Canis lupus familiaris: one gene and its partner. The protein of the gene in region 2 purifies or fractionates together with the protein of the main gene of each other region. This does not show direct contact. Links are inferred from orthologs where the notes say so. Each region holds a gene or a part of one and is shown on either strand. Other genes may lie near its edges.

The links. Proteins that work in one complex are often made in the same cells at the same time.
Region 1: the proteins of SLC30A1 (region 2) and CSGALNACT2 purify together in Homo sapiens (co-immunoprecipitation; 3 studies listed by BioGRID and IntAct, counting the BioPlex papers as one, with this or other methods). This does not show direct contact. The link is inferred for Canis lupus familiaris from reciprocal best matches to the Homo sapiens genes SLC30A1 and CSGALNACT2.

What each region holds. Positions count from the first base shown.
Region 1 is NC_049249.1:4,092,933-4,100,356, forward strand, and holds the start of CSGALNACT2 (chondroitin sulfate N-acetylgalactosaminyltransferase 2), read right to left. Parts: upstream 4,795-7,424; 5' UTR 4,715-4,794; exon of another isoform or gene 4,625-4,714; 5' UTR 4,337-4,624; intron 3,181-4,336; exon of another isoform or gene 2,512-3,180; intron 2,294-2,511; exon of another isoform or gene 2,097-2,293; intron 1-2,096. UniProt on the Homo sapiens protein: Transfers 1,4-N-acetylgalactosamine (GalNAc) from UDP-GalNAc to the non-reducing end of glucuronic acid (GlcUA). Required for addition of the first GalNAc to the core tetrasaccharide linker and for elongation of chondroitin chains.
Region 2 is NC_049228.1:9,810,361-9,817,631, forward strand, and holds the start of SLC30A1 (zinc transporter 1), read right to left. Parts: upstream 4,344-7,271; 5' UTR 4,306-4,343; coding exon 3,690-4,305; intron 2,067-3,689; coding exon 1,165-2,066; 3' UTR 1-1,164. UniProt on the Homo sapiens protein: Zinc ion:proton antiporter that could function at the plasma membrane mediating zinc efflux from cells against its electrochemical gradient protecting them from intracellular zinc accumulation and toxicity.

The sequences.
Region 1 (7,424 bases), on a different chromosome or scaffold from region 2:
AAGATCTTCTTGTACCCTACCCTTGTAATATGCCCATCCTGGCAGTAAAGAATGGCCTCAGGGCCATTCACAAAATTGTTATTCCCCATTCTCTGGCCCATATACCATCCTGTGAGCCACTTGCTGAAGACACTGGCTGTAGTGAATCTTTGCTCGCTTTTTTCAATGTGCTTCTAGAACAGGACAGTCAATAACTTTTTGTACATATTAATAGCAAATTTCCACAACATAAACCCTACAATTTTAACCATTAAGTATACAGTTCAGTGGTATGAAGTACATTTACATTGTTCTACATAGCCATCGCCACTATCCAGCTCCAGAACTTTTTCCTCATCCCACATTGAAACTCTTCCCCCATAAATACTAACTCCCCACTTTACCTTCTCCTGGCCCCTGGCAACCAACATTCTACTTTCTGCCTCTATGAATTTGACTGCTCTATGTAACTCATATGAATGGACTCACATACTATTTGTCTTTTGAATATGTGTTTGAATGACGACAGTACCTTTCTTACCTTCACCTGGGGAAGATAACTGTCCTTCAGGATGGTCATGCCCCAAGGGTTCACCGAAGTATCCTACTATTTTTCTCAAGTTGTTAATCAAGATCTAAATGATCTAATTTTAATTAAATGAAAAGGAAAAATGAAAAAAAATTAAATTATCTAATTTAAGTTATCTAAATTTCCCTTGTGATTGTTAGGACACCATATGTAGATGATCTCCTACTCTACTCAGAGAAAAAAGGATTCCATTTACTTATTCTCAGCCTTAGAAGAAGGTCATAATATTTCAAAAGACAAATTGCCATTTTGCCAAAATACAGTCTATTATTTAGGATGTGGTTCAACTAGAAGCAGAAAACATTCTCTTCTGATAGACTAAAACCTACTCAAATCTATGGTAGCTCCTTCACAAAATCACATCTGAGAGGATTTAAAGGTTTATTTATTTATTTTTAAGGATTTTATTTATTCATGAAAGACACACAGAGGGAGAGAGAGAGAGAGAGAAAGAGAGAGAGAGAGAGAGAGAAGCAGAAACATAGGCAGAAGATGAAGCAGGCTCCTCGCAGGGAACCCAATGTGGGACTCAATTCTGGACCCTGGGATCATGCCCTGAGCCAAAGGCAGATGCTCAACTGCTGAGGTATCCAGGGATCCCAGGATTTAAAGGTTCCACTAGATTTTTCAGCCCCATTGTTGCTAAATTTTTCTGTGATTTTTATACCTCTTTATGAACTAAGTTCTTAGTAAGAGATTCTCTCCTCTGGGAGCCCCAAAATGAACAGGCTTTCTGGAACCTGAAGGTGGCTCCTCAGTGACCTCTTTCCCTAGACATCTGAAACAACAGAAGGCCCTTCTGTCTATTTGTGCATGAGCAATCTGGACAAGACCTTGGAGTTTCACGGGAACCATCCAAAACCCATCACTTACTACCTAGCCTTCCCTTGACATGCTATATGCCCCTAGTGTTAGGGCAGGTGTTCTGCTGCAAAATTTGTGGATGCTTCTGCCGAGCTAGTTCCAGGCTCCTCGCTTGACCTCATGATCCTTCCTGAAGTAGAGACATTACTATTGACTGGAAACAGCACTTCTCAGCCAGCTGCTTAACATCTTATGAAATTCTATTACTCTCTCCCTCTCAGGTACTACTTACTGCTACAATACCCTGAATCCAGACATTCTGCTTCTCTTAGCAGAAGAAGGGGAGCCTAGTGATCATTTTACCTCAGATAATTTGGGAACTCTCTGTACCTTACTCACATGTATTATAGTCTCATATTGAGAACCCTGAACTAATCCTGTTTGCTGATGGATCATTCTCGAAGCTGGAAGATATCAAGCAGCATGTACTATCATTAATTGAAGGTCTCCTTTAGAATTTAGTCCTCTCCTGAGGTAAAATCAGTCAAAATGGCAGAAGGTGTTGCATTTACTACAGCTTGTTAACTAGCCAAAGACTAGAGGGTAAACATATAATATAGACAGGAAATATGTTTTTGGGGTGCCACACAACTTTGGGATGCTAGAACCCCCACAAAAATGGACAAGTTAAGCAACTTTTAGATGCATTCTATTTACTACAAAGGTGACTACTATGAAGGTCGAGAACCATGCAAAAAGAGACAACAATATTGAAGCTAAAGGCAACGCTCTGCAGATCATGATGCCAAACAACTAAATTTTCTCCCTGAAACTATTCATGGAGCACAAATTGATTACTACCTTAAATTGACACTGGAGAAGCTGTAAAGGGACAGCTGCATTGTTCTAAATTTCATGTGGGTAAGTCATGGTGTGTGCCAATCCTAATACTGTCCTTGGATCAGTGACACAGGGAAGGTGGGGCAGGCTCTACAGTGCCTTACGGGTAAAAGCTACTTGCTCTGTAAAACTGACCCTCAGGACCTGTATGGAATTTATTCTTGGGCCTGGGTTAGGATTCTGGGTTCAAAGCATCTGACAGGGGTTATTAATTGTTCTCATTCTTATTTATGTCATAGGGGTAGTAATACTGGTCCACTGCATTCTATCCAGGGTCTGAAATGCTTCTGCACAGCTACTTTCCTCATCAGATGATCCTCATGGTGATACAACAGAAAGGCTGAAAAGACTTCATGATACAGTTGGCCTTGTAGAGGACTGAACAATCAATCTCAAAGTGGTGAAGATCTGGATTTCTTTTTTTTTTTTTTTTTTTAAGATCTGGATTTCTAGACTTCCCTAAATTCACCAACTTCTCACAAGCAAGAAAATGATCAGAAAGGAAGACTGAGAGACAATATGCAGACATACAATGACCAGACCACATGTAAACTGAGAAGCCCTGACCCATACCTCTGTAGGAACTGGCCCAGAATGGTCGGGGCTTGGTCTATGACTGCCACGTTCCCCACTTTTGCTATTTCCAAATCAGAACCAATCAGAGAGAGCCAAATATGTTCCCAAAGCAAATCTCATAAGATGCCCGACTTCTAGGTAGCCTACCTTCCGCTTCCCCCTGCCAACAACTTCCAAGCACAACGTGCCTGAAGCCTCTCTCCCTCACCCCCTTTTTTACTGTAAAGCTTTTCCCTCCTCTGCCTGCGTTCGAGTTTCTGTCAAAACCAACTGATGGTGGTTGACTCTCTTACTATAGCAAGTTCAGAATAAATAACCTCTGCTTGTTCTCATTTGGATGGTCTTTACTTATTTCCATGAAACTTAAGATTATAGATAATTGGGGTCCTCTGAAAAAAATACAATTTTCTACCACAATGCTTTTTTTAAAAAAATATTTTATTTATTCATGAGAGACACAGAGAGAGAGAGAGGCAGAGGGAGAAGCAGGCTCCCCAAGGGGAGCCTGATGTGGGACTTTATCCCAGAACCCCGGAATCATGACCTGAGCCAAAGGTGGATGCTCAACCACTGAGTCACCCAAGTCCCCCACACAATACTTCTTTTACTTCAATGACTATCTCATGAAAGACCAGAATCCTTCCATCCTCTGTATCACTCCTTTTCTTAAAAATCTGATAATCTTTTCTTTCCACACATTAGGAAGTCCCCCAAACCCTTGGCATGCACCTGACCTGCCAGGCCCTGTGGCCACAGACCCTCCAGGGAAATTTCCTCTTTAAAGCTCCCAGGATGGGGATCCCTGGGTGGCTCAGCGGTTTGGCGCCTGCCTTTGGCCCAGGGCGTGATCCTGGAGTCCCGGGATTGAGTCCCACGTCAGGCTCCTGGCATGAAGCCTGCTTCTCCCTCTGCCTCTCTCTCTCTGTGTGTGTCTAAAATAAATAAATAAATCTTTAAAATAAATAAATAAATAAATAAATAAATAAATAAATAAATAAATAAATAAATAAAAAATAAAGCTCCCAGGAGGCACAACATGTGAAGCATGTCATAGGCCCTTGGTGAAAGAAGCATCTGAGGACAGGGGCTGTGACACAGGCACCATGTGGGCTCCCTACAGTCCTCTGGGCAAAGTCCCTTGCCTCAGGGAGTAAGAGGCAGCCTTGCGTTCTTCCTTCTTCCAGTCTAGACCCTTCCCAAACCATAGGAATGACTTTACTCCACAGGGGAAATGACATGTGCAGAAAAGGACTGGCATGGAGGTGAGAGACAAGAGCAGCCAAAAAACATATGGTTTATTCTGGTACTGTTTACAAAACTGACCAAGATTAAAAGAAACGGGGACACTTAAAATGAACTTCACATTTTTATTCATGAAATTGATCATTTTCATGGTAAATATTATGTTTATGAAATATCAAAATGATTTCCTTCTCAAAAAGTTACTTTTGTGTTTTGTTTTGTTTTTTAGTTTTGGAATGTACTTACCTTGCTTCTCATGCTAACTTTGAACTTGAATTGCTGTGTCCTCTGAATGGATGCAGGGTTATGGTGCCTCCCGGTGTGGAACAGAACTCCTGAAGTCATGGTGGTTGGGTTGGAGTGGTCTTGGGTTGTGACTCCTTCCATGCTGCCTGGCCCAGTTCCTTGTGACACTGATGTTTCTGCAGTCACCAAGTTCCTGTAGATGGCTTCCCTGTCACAACTCTGGGCCAGGCTCACATTGAGAGATGTCGGTTGGCCAGGTCCTGTGATTTAGCACATCCCACAAAACATCTGCAAAATTATCTCATTACTTGACATAGCCATCAAAACCTGAGTTGCAAAGATTAACCATGATTTCTTTTGGGCATTGATAGTGCATACCTCTTTGACTCTGGGTGTGATGCTCACTCTTGCTGCTGTTACACTGCCCCCCCCCCCCCCCGCCCCATCCAGCCTTGGCTGCAGAATGGATAGGTGCTCCAAATTGAAAAATTCTCTACATAGAGGTTCTGATTTTTTGTGATGTCAGCTAAGAACAGTTCCTGTGAATCCCTAGAGTTCTAACAAGGCCATCAAGGTTGCTGCCTGTGGAGAAGAGATGAGAGAACAGAACAGGCAGACTGTTTTCTGCACAAGGACAAGAGCAGAGGATAAGGTCTGTGAATATCTTCATGCTGAAGGGATGAGGAAGCTCCTCCACCACTACGCATGCCCTTCAGACCACCATGTCTTTCCAGAGCCACAGAGTTAGGGATTTCTCAGGCATCATCTAGAACCACCCTAAATGCCACCTGCTAAATATCTTATACATGAATATGCCCAAGGGAGGAGAGGAAACCATTCACTGGGGGAAATGATGCTTTATTTATACTGGGGAAGATTATGCTTTCCCTTTGAATTTTCTATTACATATAAAGTATTTGTCCAAGCCCCATTCTCAGGCATTATATTCAACTAAATTTCCACTCTTAAAATAAGCTGCCCTTATGGTAGAAAAGCATCATTTGTGGAAATTGGTGGAGAAATGTGCTTTTTAAGACAAATAAACCAAACATACAAACACTACTAATGGAAGTTCAATGCTCTTGAAAAAGGGGGCTTTTAGTATTTTAGTATTAGCTTTTCTCAGCATGGGTTTCTAAACGGTCAGAGGAAAAGACTGTAACATATCGCTCACCCTAGAAATTACGTTTACTTCCAGCCCCTGTGATTCAGATTGAAGGGGGACGTCAAGAGTGGACATGGGTGCTGAGGCCAGAAGCCAGAGCTCCGAGGGCCAGGGGCAGTCTGTCCAGGTATGTGTGTGTGTGTGTGTGTGTGTGTGTGTGTGCACGTGTGTAATGACATAGGCTTTTGGCATTTCACGACACACTCAGAAATCAGATTTATATTGGTAACAACTTGTGTTTGCCAACTGACCTATCTGCTCCCTGCCAGGCATTTGAGGAGGAGTTCAGAGAATGCATGCATAACCCAGCAGAAAGACTTGGTCTTTTAAGCTTATGGTAGTTCAGGGCAAAAGTTTATCACTGACTGTACCAGACTTTCAGTTATGGCTATGCATTTTGCATCCCTTCTTGCACATCTGTCTAATGGCAGCTTTAAGAAATCAGCCCCATTTGCTAGAGAACCGCAAACACCTGAACTCGATGTGGCTGTTGCTCTCTTTCAGGGAAAGAAACACAAAGGAAAGAATGGTGGAACTAGCTGCACTTTAACAGTTCCCATAATGTGCCTAGTCACCTACATATTGTTCAAGATAAGTCAATGACCAAGCACCTCCTAGTTCTTTGAGCACTGTCACTTCCCCAGGGGTTACCATGACAGATCTCCTTGTGGTATTTCAATCCTTACACATTGAAACTTCAAAATCAGAAACCTGATGTTTCCAACTGGGAAGTTAAAAAGAGAAAAGAAGTTTACACATTTTACGATAGATGATTTTATTCACATAATTGAAATTATTTCCTTAGTCACCTTGTTACAAAAGCAAATTAACAATGGTATGGTTTAGTAACCTTTCATAAATAGATTTTACAAATTTTAATAACTGACAGATTGCTACTTAATGCTCAGTAATACTTAATACTTGGTAACTTCAGTGTATATGCATATGAAAATAGTCTGCTAGGACCAGTAAGTATGAGTGCTTTTAAAACTCAGGAATAGACATTAGATAACTGGTCAAGGGTTAAGACCTGGAGCTTTCACCCTGCCAGGAACAAACCCACTGTGGCAACTCGCACCTGTTGAGTAGGTATCTTTTAACAATTTGAAGAGTTTATCCTTTTTTCTGCATTTAATAAGACTGTCATTAACCACATCTGAAAACCAAAAGTTTACCACAACTAGATTATTTGTAAAAGAACTTATCACAGTGTGTCTGAAAAGTGGCCTAAACTAAAGCCACGTTACAGCGTGTTTTTCCAGCTCTCTGCGGGTTTGTGTGCACACGCATACACACACATACTATGAGGCTCTGCTACATACTCATCCAAGCTACAAAAATGCCCTAATTTTACTGCTTTTGTGAAACGCCTATGAGATACAGCGTTTGGATGAGACACTGTCAGTCCTTTACAGTGCTTTAAGTCTGAAGGCCAGGCAGCGTGTTGGGAACTGACCCTCTCCCTAGAAGTTACAGTCAGAAGAGCAGCTGGGGACTTCCCGAAAGCCACCCCCACAGATGGGAGGAGTACTGAGTGTCTGTGACCACAAACAAGCAGTGAAGAATGTCAAGAAGCTTATGAGTCATGGTCAGAATCTAATAAACAGGAATGTCTCACTATAGCAGCATTAACTTACAAAGACAGAAAGAGTGGATACACGTACCTTTTCACACAAGCTCTATGAGAGCCAAAACATTGTCTTTTCCACATCAGAACTGTAATCAGAGGGTAGCAGTCCTTGGTCATTGTCAATGTTACTTCTAACATAACTAGCTGAACTGTCCTTTTTAAGCTGAGCACTAACCCCACCCACTACTCCTAATGTATGAGACGAGCCACTGCTTTCTGGCGCTGGACATGTGGTGCATGAAGGCTGGCAGCAGTGGGATTCACAGCAGCCAAGTCTCAGCTGTCAGCAATCC
Region 2 (7,271 bases):
GTTTTTTAAGATTTTAATATCCAAATTGCATTAACCTTTAGATTTCCTTTTTCTCCTAAGTCAATGGCTCTGGGCAAAGCACAAGAACTGCTGGTTGTACTCGAAAAAAGCTGTTTGAATCCATTCATGATTGGTCACCATGAAATGACTAAGTTTTTAAACACCTACAACTTGAAAGATTACACGAATAAGCTTGCATTTAACATATAACCTATTAGATTAGCTTTAATGTCCTTAAAAGTATTTACTGTATATATTTCTTAAGTAAACTTTCAGCTCAATGTTCCTAATGCCAATCTTTCAGAGAAAGTAATGCTGGTGAACATGTCCACATTTCAGACTAACTTTGGTAAAAGAAAACATGAGTTAAAATTCTCCCCAATAATTTTAAAATGTGGTCTGAATATTAACTTCTAACAATCTAAATATTTAATTTGGTAAACCTTCTTCCCTGCTCTTACTCTTCATATGCCCTATTATATGTAAACTGTAGTTCAAGTTGTTAATTATCTCAACTGTTTATTAGAATAATATTCAGCAATATAGAATCCAGGATGGTAACTGATCTTCAGAATTATAAATAACCCATGTGAAGAAAAAAGGAAACTTTTTCCTAATAATATCCATGAGTCATTCTTAAAAACATGTTGCCATTATGCTATGTAATGATCTCAGAGGGCAAGTAAATATTACCTAAAACGTCAAAGGAAACAAACCTGTTGATGATTTTTCAAGTTTAGTGATTATAATCCTAAAAAACAAAGTATAACACTGGGGGAAAAGAAAAGCAGAGAAATTCCAGTAACAATTTTAATTTATTTATCCCCCTAATTAACTTTTTTTTTTTTACCATGGAAAAAACTGGAAATCAAATGTCATTATGTTATATAAGGTTTATACTTACTTTAAACAAAAATGTAACATAGTGTTAAAACTGGCTTTCCAAAATTGTTACAGCATAGCTGTACTCTGCACTAATAATCACAAAGTTGTAATATAGAACTCTGTTAAGCAGTCCCATTATGTTCTTACAAAAATAGAATTAAACTGTGTGACCAGACAAGGACTTCAATTACACTACTTGGCAAACTTAGAATTTCAATGGAGTCTTTTTTTCCTCTTGCAGTTTAAAGCAAAAGTCAAATATCACATCTTTCTCAAGACTCACAAAGATGATTCAGGTTGTTTGTTTGGCATTTTTTTAATCTCTATCACAACAGCAGGGATGCTTTCAACTTTAGTCCTCCGGGGCTTCTTCTCTAGATTGTCGCTAAGTTCTAGACAAGAAATGCTAACTGTTGGGGCCTTTTCTGCATCCTTTCCAGAAGGGGCTTGTGGCCGTGTCCCACAACACTGCTTCAAAGCACACTGAGTTCTGCAGGCAAGTTCACACGGGACTACACTTGATTTAGAGCCTACGCTAGCAAATTCAGGCTGAATGGTAGTAGCGTGAATTCCGTGATTATGAAAAACGTCTTTAATGATTTTGGCCACCTGCATGTAGGATGTCGGGTCTTCACATTTTATGTGAGCAGTGGCAATGATTCTGCTTCCAGCAAGTTGCCAGACATGTAATTCATGAACTTCCTCAACTCCTTCAACATCTCGAAGTTCTTTTATCAAATTTTTGATATCAATTTGTTTAGGAACAGTTTGCAGAAGAATTAGAGCAGATTCCTTAAGTAATGGATAAGTTGTGTAAAGAAGTATACAAACCATTACAATGCAAAGAGTTGGATCTAAATATAGCACCCAGCAAGGACCAGCCTCATGAACTGTTGCATGAGTACTATTAATTATTTCTACAAATGCTTTGCAGGGGTCAGGGATACATGGATTCACACAAAACTCCCCTTCAGGACAACCCCTCCAAGAAAAGTAAAAGACCAAGGCATTTACTACTACAATCACTGAACCCAAAGCATCTCCAAAGACATGCAGAAAAACTCCACGCATGTTAAGTTGTGCAGCCTTATCGTCATCTTCCAATTCCACATGGTCAGATTCTCTGATAAGATTCCCATTCACTTGTACTTCCACTGCATCATTTCTAGACTTTTCTGGATCTATAAAGAAAGGAAAAACGCTGTATCAAATACATTAGCAGTGTTTATACAAACTTCTTCATTCAAGTCCATTTTAGTGAAAGAGGTGAACATTTTTCATGGAATAAAATTTTTTTAAAACGTGCCCAGGACAGTTTATTATATAAACTGACATGTTGGGAACAAGCCAGGGCAAAATCAAGTCCTTAAGGAGATAGTGCTTCCCCGTTCTCCAAACCAGCCCCCTACTTCTCCCACCTCCAAAAAAAGTTCATCTTTTCTGTGGGGGTGGGGTCCCCTGTACATTCTGCTCTACTTTTCGGCATATGCAAGAGAAAACGTAAAATCGAATGCTATCACCCACAAATTAAATGCAACTAGGAAGAAGTCTACTACAAATGCCTGATTTGACACACAGCTCTGGTCCCTCTTTGTCATTAAGGTGTTGTAGCTAAATCTTAACTTTTATCATGAACAGAAACCAAGAAAAGAGTCTCTTGGTGGAGTGTTTAGAAACGACAAATCAGCAATATGAGCCCATCAACAATCATAAACTTCAGGAAAAGCTGCAACGATCACTATCTACCCTACCAGTTCTTAAACCAAACGTACCCATCTTTTAAAGGAATTACTGTCTACACACCAGAGCAGCCTCGTTTTCTTTGGAATAAGACCTCGCAGAGGGGGAGTAAGGGGAAATTCAACTGTTTAGTAAACCTTTCAATGTACAAGTTCAATTTCATTAACGTGATATCCTGCACCTCGAAGAAAGAACAAGTAGTATCATCCGACTAAACAAATAAATATAAGCGGAAAAAGGCTGGATGGAAATACACCAAATTATTAACATCATCAGAGCTTGGGGAGCTGGGCTTTGGTCGATTCCTTTTCCCCATCTCTTTTCTTTCAGCATTTTCCAAATTGCTTTCAAGAGTAATCATATTTAGAGGGGGGGGGGGGGAAGCATCCAGTAAAAAGGGAATAAGGGAAGTCACCGTCAGGCTTATTTTATAGTATGATTTTCCAAAGTCCGGAGTGAAAGGTTAAAACATGACCAAACAGGGTCCTGAACTAGGATCTGCAGGATTAGGCTCAGACTGGAGACAAGTAAGTGAAATACACACACACACACACACACACACACACACACACACACGATGCCCGTTCGGAAAAGACACCTTTCACCGGGCTTTTGGGGTGAGGGAAGTCCATGGCTAGGGGGGCTCTGAAAAGAAGAAACTTGTTTGAAGGGCACAGGAACTACTCGGGCAGGGCAAGGTTTGTGACGGCCAACAACTCAGGATGAGGTGGGGATTCTCTCCGTTTCCCAAGGGGTGGGGGTGGGGGTGGGGGGTCGGGGGCAGGAAACTGAATTAGGAAGCACTTTGGATTCCGTGGAAACCCCGATCAGGAGAGTCTCTCGGGAAGACGGCTCCCGAGGGCGGCTGTGGACGGTCCCCCCCCCCCCGCCCCCTCTGCCCCCCGCCGCCCTGGGTCCCCGAGAGCCCCGCGGGCCCCGGACGGCGGCCCCGGACGGCGGCGGCGCGGGCAGCAGGGGGCGTGCGGCCCTCCCGCCCCGGGCCGGCCGAGGGTCCCGCCGTCCCCCGGCCCGGCCACCTGCGGTCACCCTCCCCGGCCGCTCACCTGGCCGCTCCAGTTTCAGCCCGTTGGAGTTGCTGCTGTTGGACACCAGCGTGTTGGTCTCCTCCGCGTCGGGCCTCTGCTCGCCCGGGGTCTCGCTGTCGTCGCCGGCCCCGGCGCGGCCGCCCTTGCCGCGGGCCCCCTTGGGGAGGCCGTGGCCGTGCCCCCCGTGCGAGTGGCCGTGGCCCGAGTCGTTGCCGAAGCCGCTGTGATGGTGGAAGAGGCACAGCCCCATCACGTTGACCAGCAGCCCGGCCACGCCGACCCCGAGGACCACCAGCGGCTGCTGCATCTCGTGCGGCTCGATGAAGCGCTCGATGGCCTCCAGCAGGATGGCGAAGCAGAGGCCGGTCAGGAAGATGGCGTTCACCAGGGCCCCCATCACCTCGGCCCGGATCCAGCCGAACGTGTTCTTCTGGGTGGCGTGGGTCCGCCGGGCGAAGCGCTCGGCCACCAGCGCCACCACCAGCGCCAGCACGTCCGACAGCATGTGGAAGGAGTCGGAGAGCATCGCCAGGGACGAGGTCACCTGGCTCACCACCACCTCGAGCACCATGAACATGAAGGTCAGCAGCAGCATGCACACCAGCCGGCCCCGGTTGCGACCCCAGCACCCCATGGCTGCGGGCCGGCGGCTGCCCTGGCGGCGCGGGCGCGGGCGCGGGCTCGGGCGGGGGCGCGGCGCGGGGGGCGCCGGGGGGCGGGGGGTGCGGGGCGCCGCGGGGCGGGCTGCGCGGCCGGGCGGGGTTGAGCCCCGGGGTCAGGCCGCCGCGCCCCCGCGCCCGAGGGCGTCCCCGGCGGGCGGGCGGGCGGGCGGCGCGCAGCTGCTCAGGCGGCCGTGCTCGGGGCCGGCGCCGAGGCCCGGCTCAGCCCCAGCAGCCCCCACACCACAGCGGGGCGGCGGCGGCGGCGGCGGCGGCGGCGGCGGCGGGGGCCGAGGCGGCGGCGGGGAGCCGGGGCTGCTCCGGGGGCCGGGGGGCGAAGAGCCGGAGCGGCAGCGGCGGCGGGCGGGCGGCGGGGGCGGGCGACGGGCAGCTCCGCGCTGCCAAGGCTGCGAGCATCTGCAGGGCTCTCGGCGCAGGTCTTCCCGCCGCTGGTCTCCTCCGCTGGGACTCGGACCGCGGAGCTGACGCCTGAAGAGCTAAAAAGGCGGCGGCCCCGGCAGCTGCACTCGGCCCGGTCTCCGGCGCCTTCTTCGCCCCCCCGCCTTTGCAGACGGTTTACAAAAAAACTTTGCTTTGCACTCGGAACCCCCGTTTTCACACGGACCCGAGCGTGACAAGGCCCCGGCGCCCCGCCCACCAGGCCCGGCACGCCTCCCCATTGGCCGGGACCCCCTCACGACAGCCTCCGCTCCCCGCCCTCCCGCGCTCGCCATTGGGTGGGGGCTCGGGGGGGCGGGAGGGGGCGGGGCCGAGGCGCCAACAGATGGGGGCGGGGCCTTCCTCTCCGGGAGCCGGGCGTGGGCCGGGGGCCGCGGCCGGGTGCAGCGGCGGGCGTCGTGGGGGAGGGTCGGGGGCGCGGGCCGCGTGCAGCAGGAGGGGGCGGGGCGGGGCGGGGCGGGGCGGGCGCGGTCCCCCGGGGCGCGGCGGGGCGGCTGCCGGCGCCCTGCGGGTCCTCGCGGCGCCCCGCGCGCCCACGGGGGCCGGGCGGCCGGCAGACTTTGATCCTCCGCGCCGAGTCCACGTGGTGGGTGAAGGGACGGCTCGGGAGGCGAGTTGACCGAAGTCAAGCCATCTTGGTATTTCGGCTGACCCTTAACCTAAAAGTCAGCAGGTCATAAAAAGAGTCACAAGATCCCACTGATGGAAGACCACAAGACCCGACTCCCTCTGGCAGGAGCAGGCACAGAGGCTGCACATTCTTAAAATTGCTCCCTGTGGGTAATTGCACAGCCCTAGGACAACAGGACTCCCCGCTCGGGGTGGGTGATAAAGTTCAGCAGTAAGCCCCTCCCGAGACCTCAGCCGATTTTTTAAAATTAAAAAAAAAAAAACAAAAAAACTTACAAAACCGTTACAGGCAAAGGTGATGGGGGGGGGGTCTGCTGCCCCACCTGGGAGGAGAGACCGCTGCTTTGTCTACGAAGGGCCCCCCCTTCCAGGTAGACTTTGGTCCCCGTCCCTAAGGGCTGGCTCCCGAATGCCCCCTCCGCCGAGACACCCCCCCCCCCCCCCCCGGGCCCGAGAGCCGCCCTCGCGCGGCCTCCACCCGCCGCCGTCCGTGGAAGAGACCAGAGACTCTGCGGCGCTGTGTGACCGACGGCAGCCCGGGATGGGGGGGGGGGGGAGCCGGGGGGGGGTGTCCCCGGGGGTCCACGCGCCCTTCCTGCCCCGAGACCCGGGGTGACGCGGCCGCGCTGAGCACCTCGACCTTCCGAGCGGTCCTGCAAACGGCAGGAGCCGTGTCTCTGAAAATGTTTCAACCGAGCAGACCACCCCTATCACCAGCATCCCTAGGAGACCTTGTGTAAAGCCAGATATTATCTAAGGACAGTGTAGGGCACCGACGTCAAGCGGGAGCAACCCGGGCTCCGGTGCCAGCTGTGGGACTTGGAGGAGCGTCACCCAATCTCGCTTAGACCTGTTTCTTCATATAGTAAAGGATTGGGCAAGAGGAACTCTTTAAGATCCTTTCTGACTCTAAAATTCGAAGGCTCTGTGATTGAACAAACGTTTTATTTATAGACTACAGAGAGCTGAACCCTGTGTTGGTTGCTATGGGGAAGGGAGGGCCAGTTAAGAATACAAAAGCAGGCGCTTCTGTCCAGGTGGAGGTAAACTATCAACATATAAAATGTTGGAGTTACACTGAAATACTCAATAAATTGTGCCAGCTCTAGTTTAGAGTGCATCCGTATGCGCTGTGCGCTGAGTGATGAGTTCACCTGGGAAGTGAAGATTTCCTGTTCCTCAAGTGGAGGGGTGGCTGCAATCAGAGTCACCTAAGCTGGACCCCTAAAGGCCTTCCACATCCCCCGCCCCCCAGCAGAAGGAAGAACCCCCACTGTTCTGGATTGCTACAAAACAAAAGCAGTGCTAGCCTGTGCCTCAGGATCTATATATAAGGCTAGTTTGGAGCCATGTTATTTTGCATTTTAAAAAATATTTCTATTTCTGTTTTCTTTTTCCCCATTTGTATGTGGTATGTTTCTCATTTCTCCATCCAAACTACAGAGCTGGATCCCTCATCTTCTATTTCTGTTCTCCAGCAACAGAAAAGAAGGGAGAAAAGTTTTCCAGACAGTATAAAAGGAGGAATTGATAGGAGTCGATGGTGAATTGGGAGGGTGAAAACGAAGGAGGAGAATTTAACCAAAAGAGTTCAAATGTTTTAACCTGCTAAAGAAAATACTGCTTTATACAGGTGAGGAAGTTGGTGAGGTGGGGTGGTGGAGGGAGGAGCTGACTTTAAGGGGAAACTAGCCCATTTTTAGTGTGCTAAATTTGAGATGAAGTCTGGATGGTGACAGTGCTAAGGAGTGGGGAGATGGGACTTGGGGGTTCATAATAGTTCAACTGTCCGTACCCCCTTTGGTGTGGACAATTGACATTTAACTGATCATATTGAGTAAACACAGCTTCA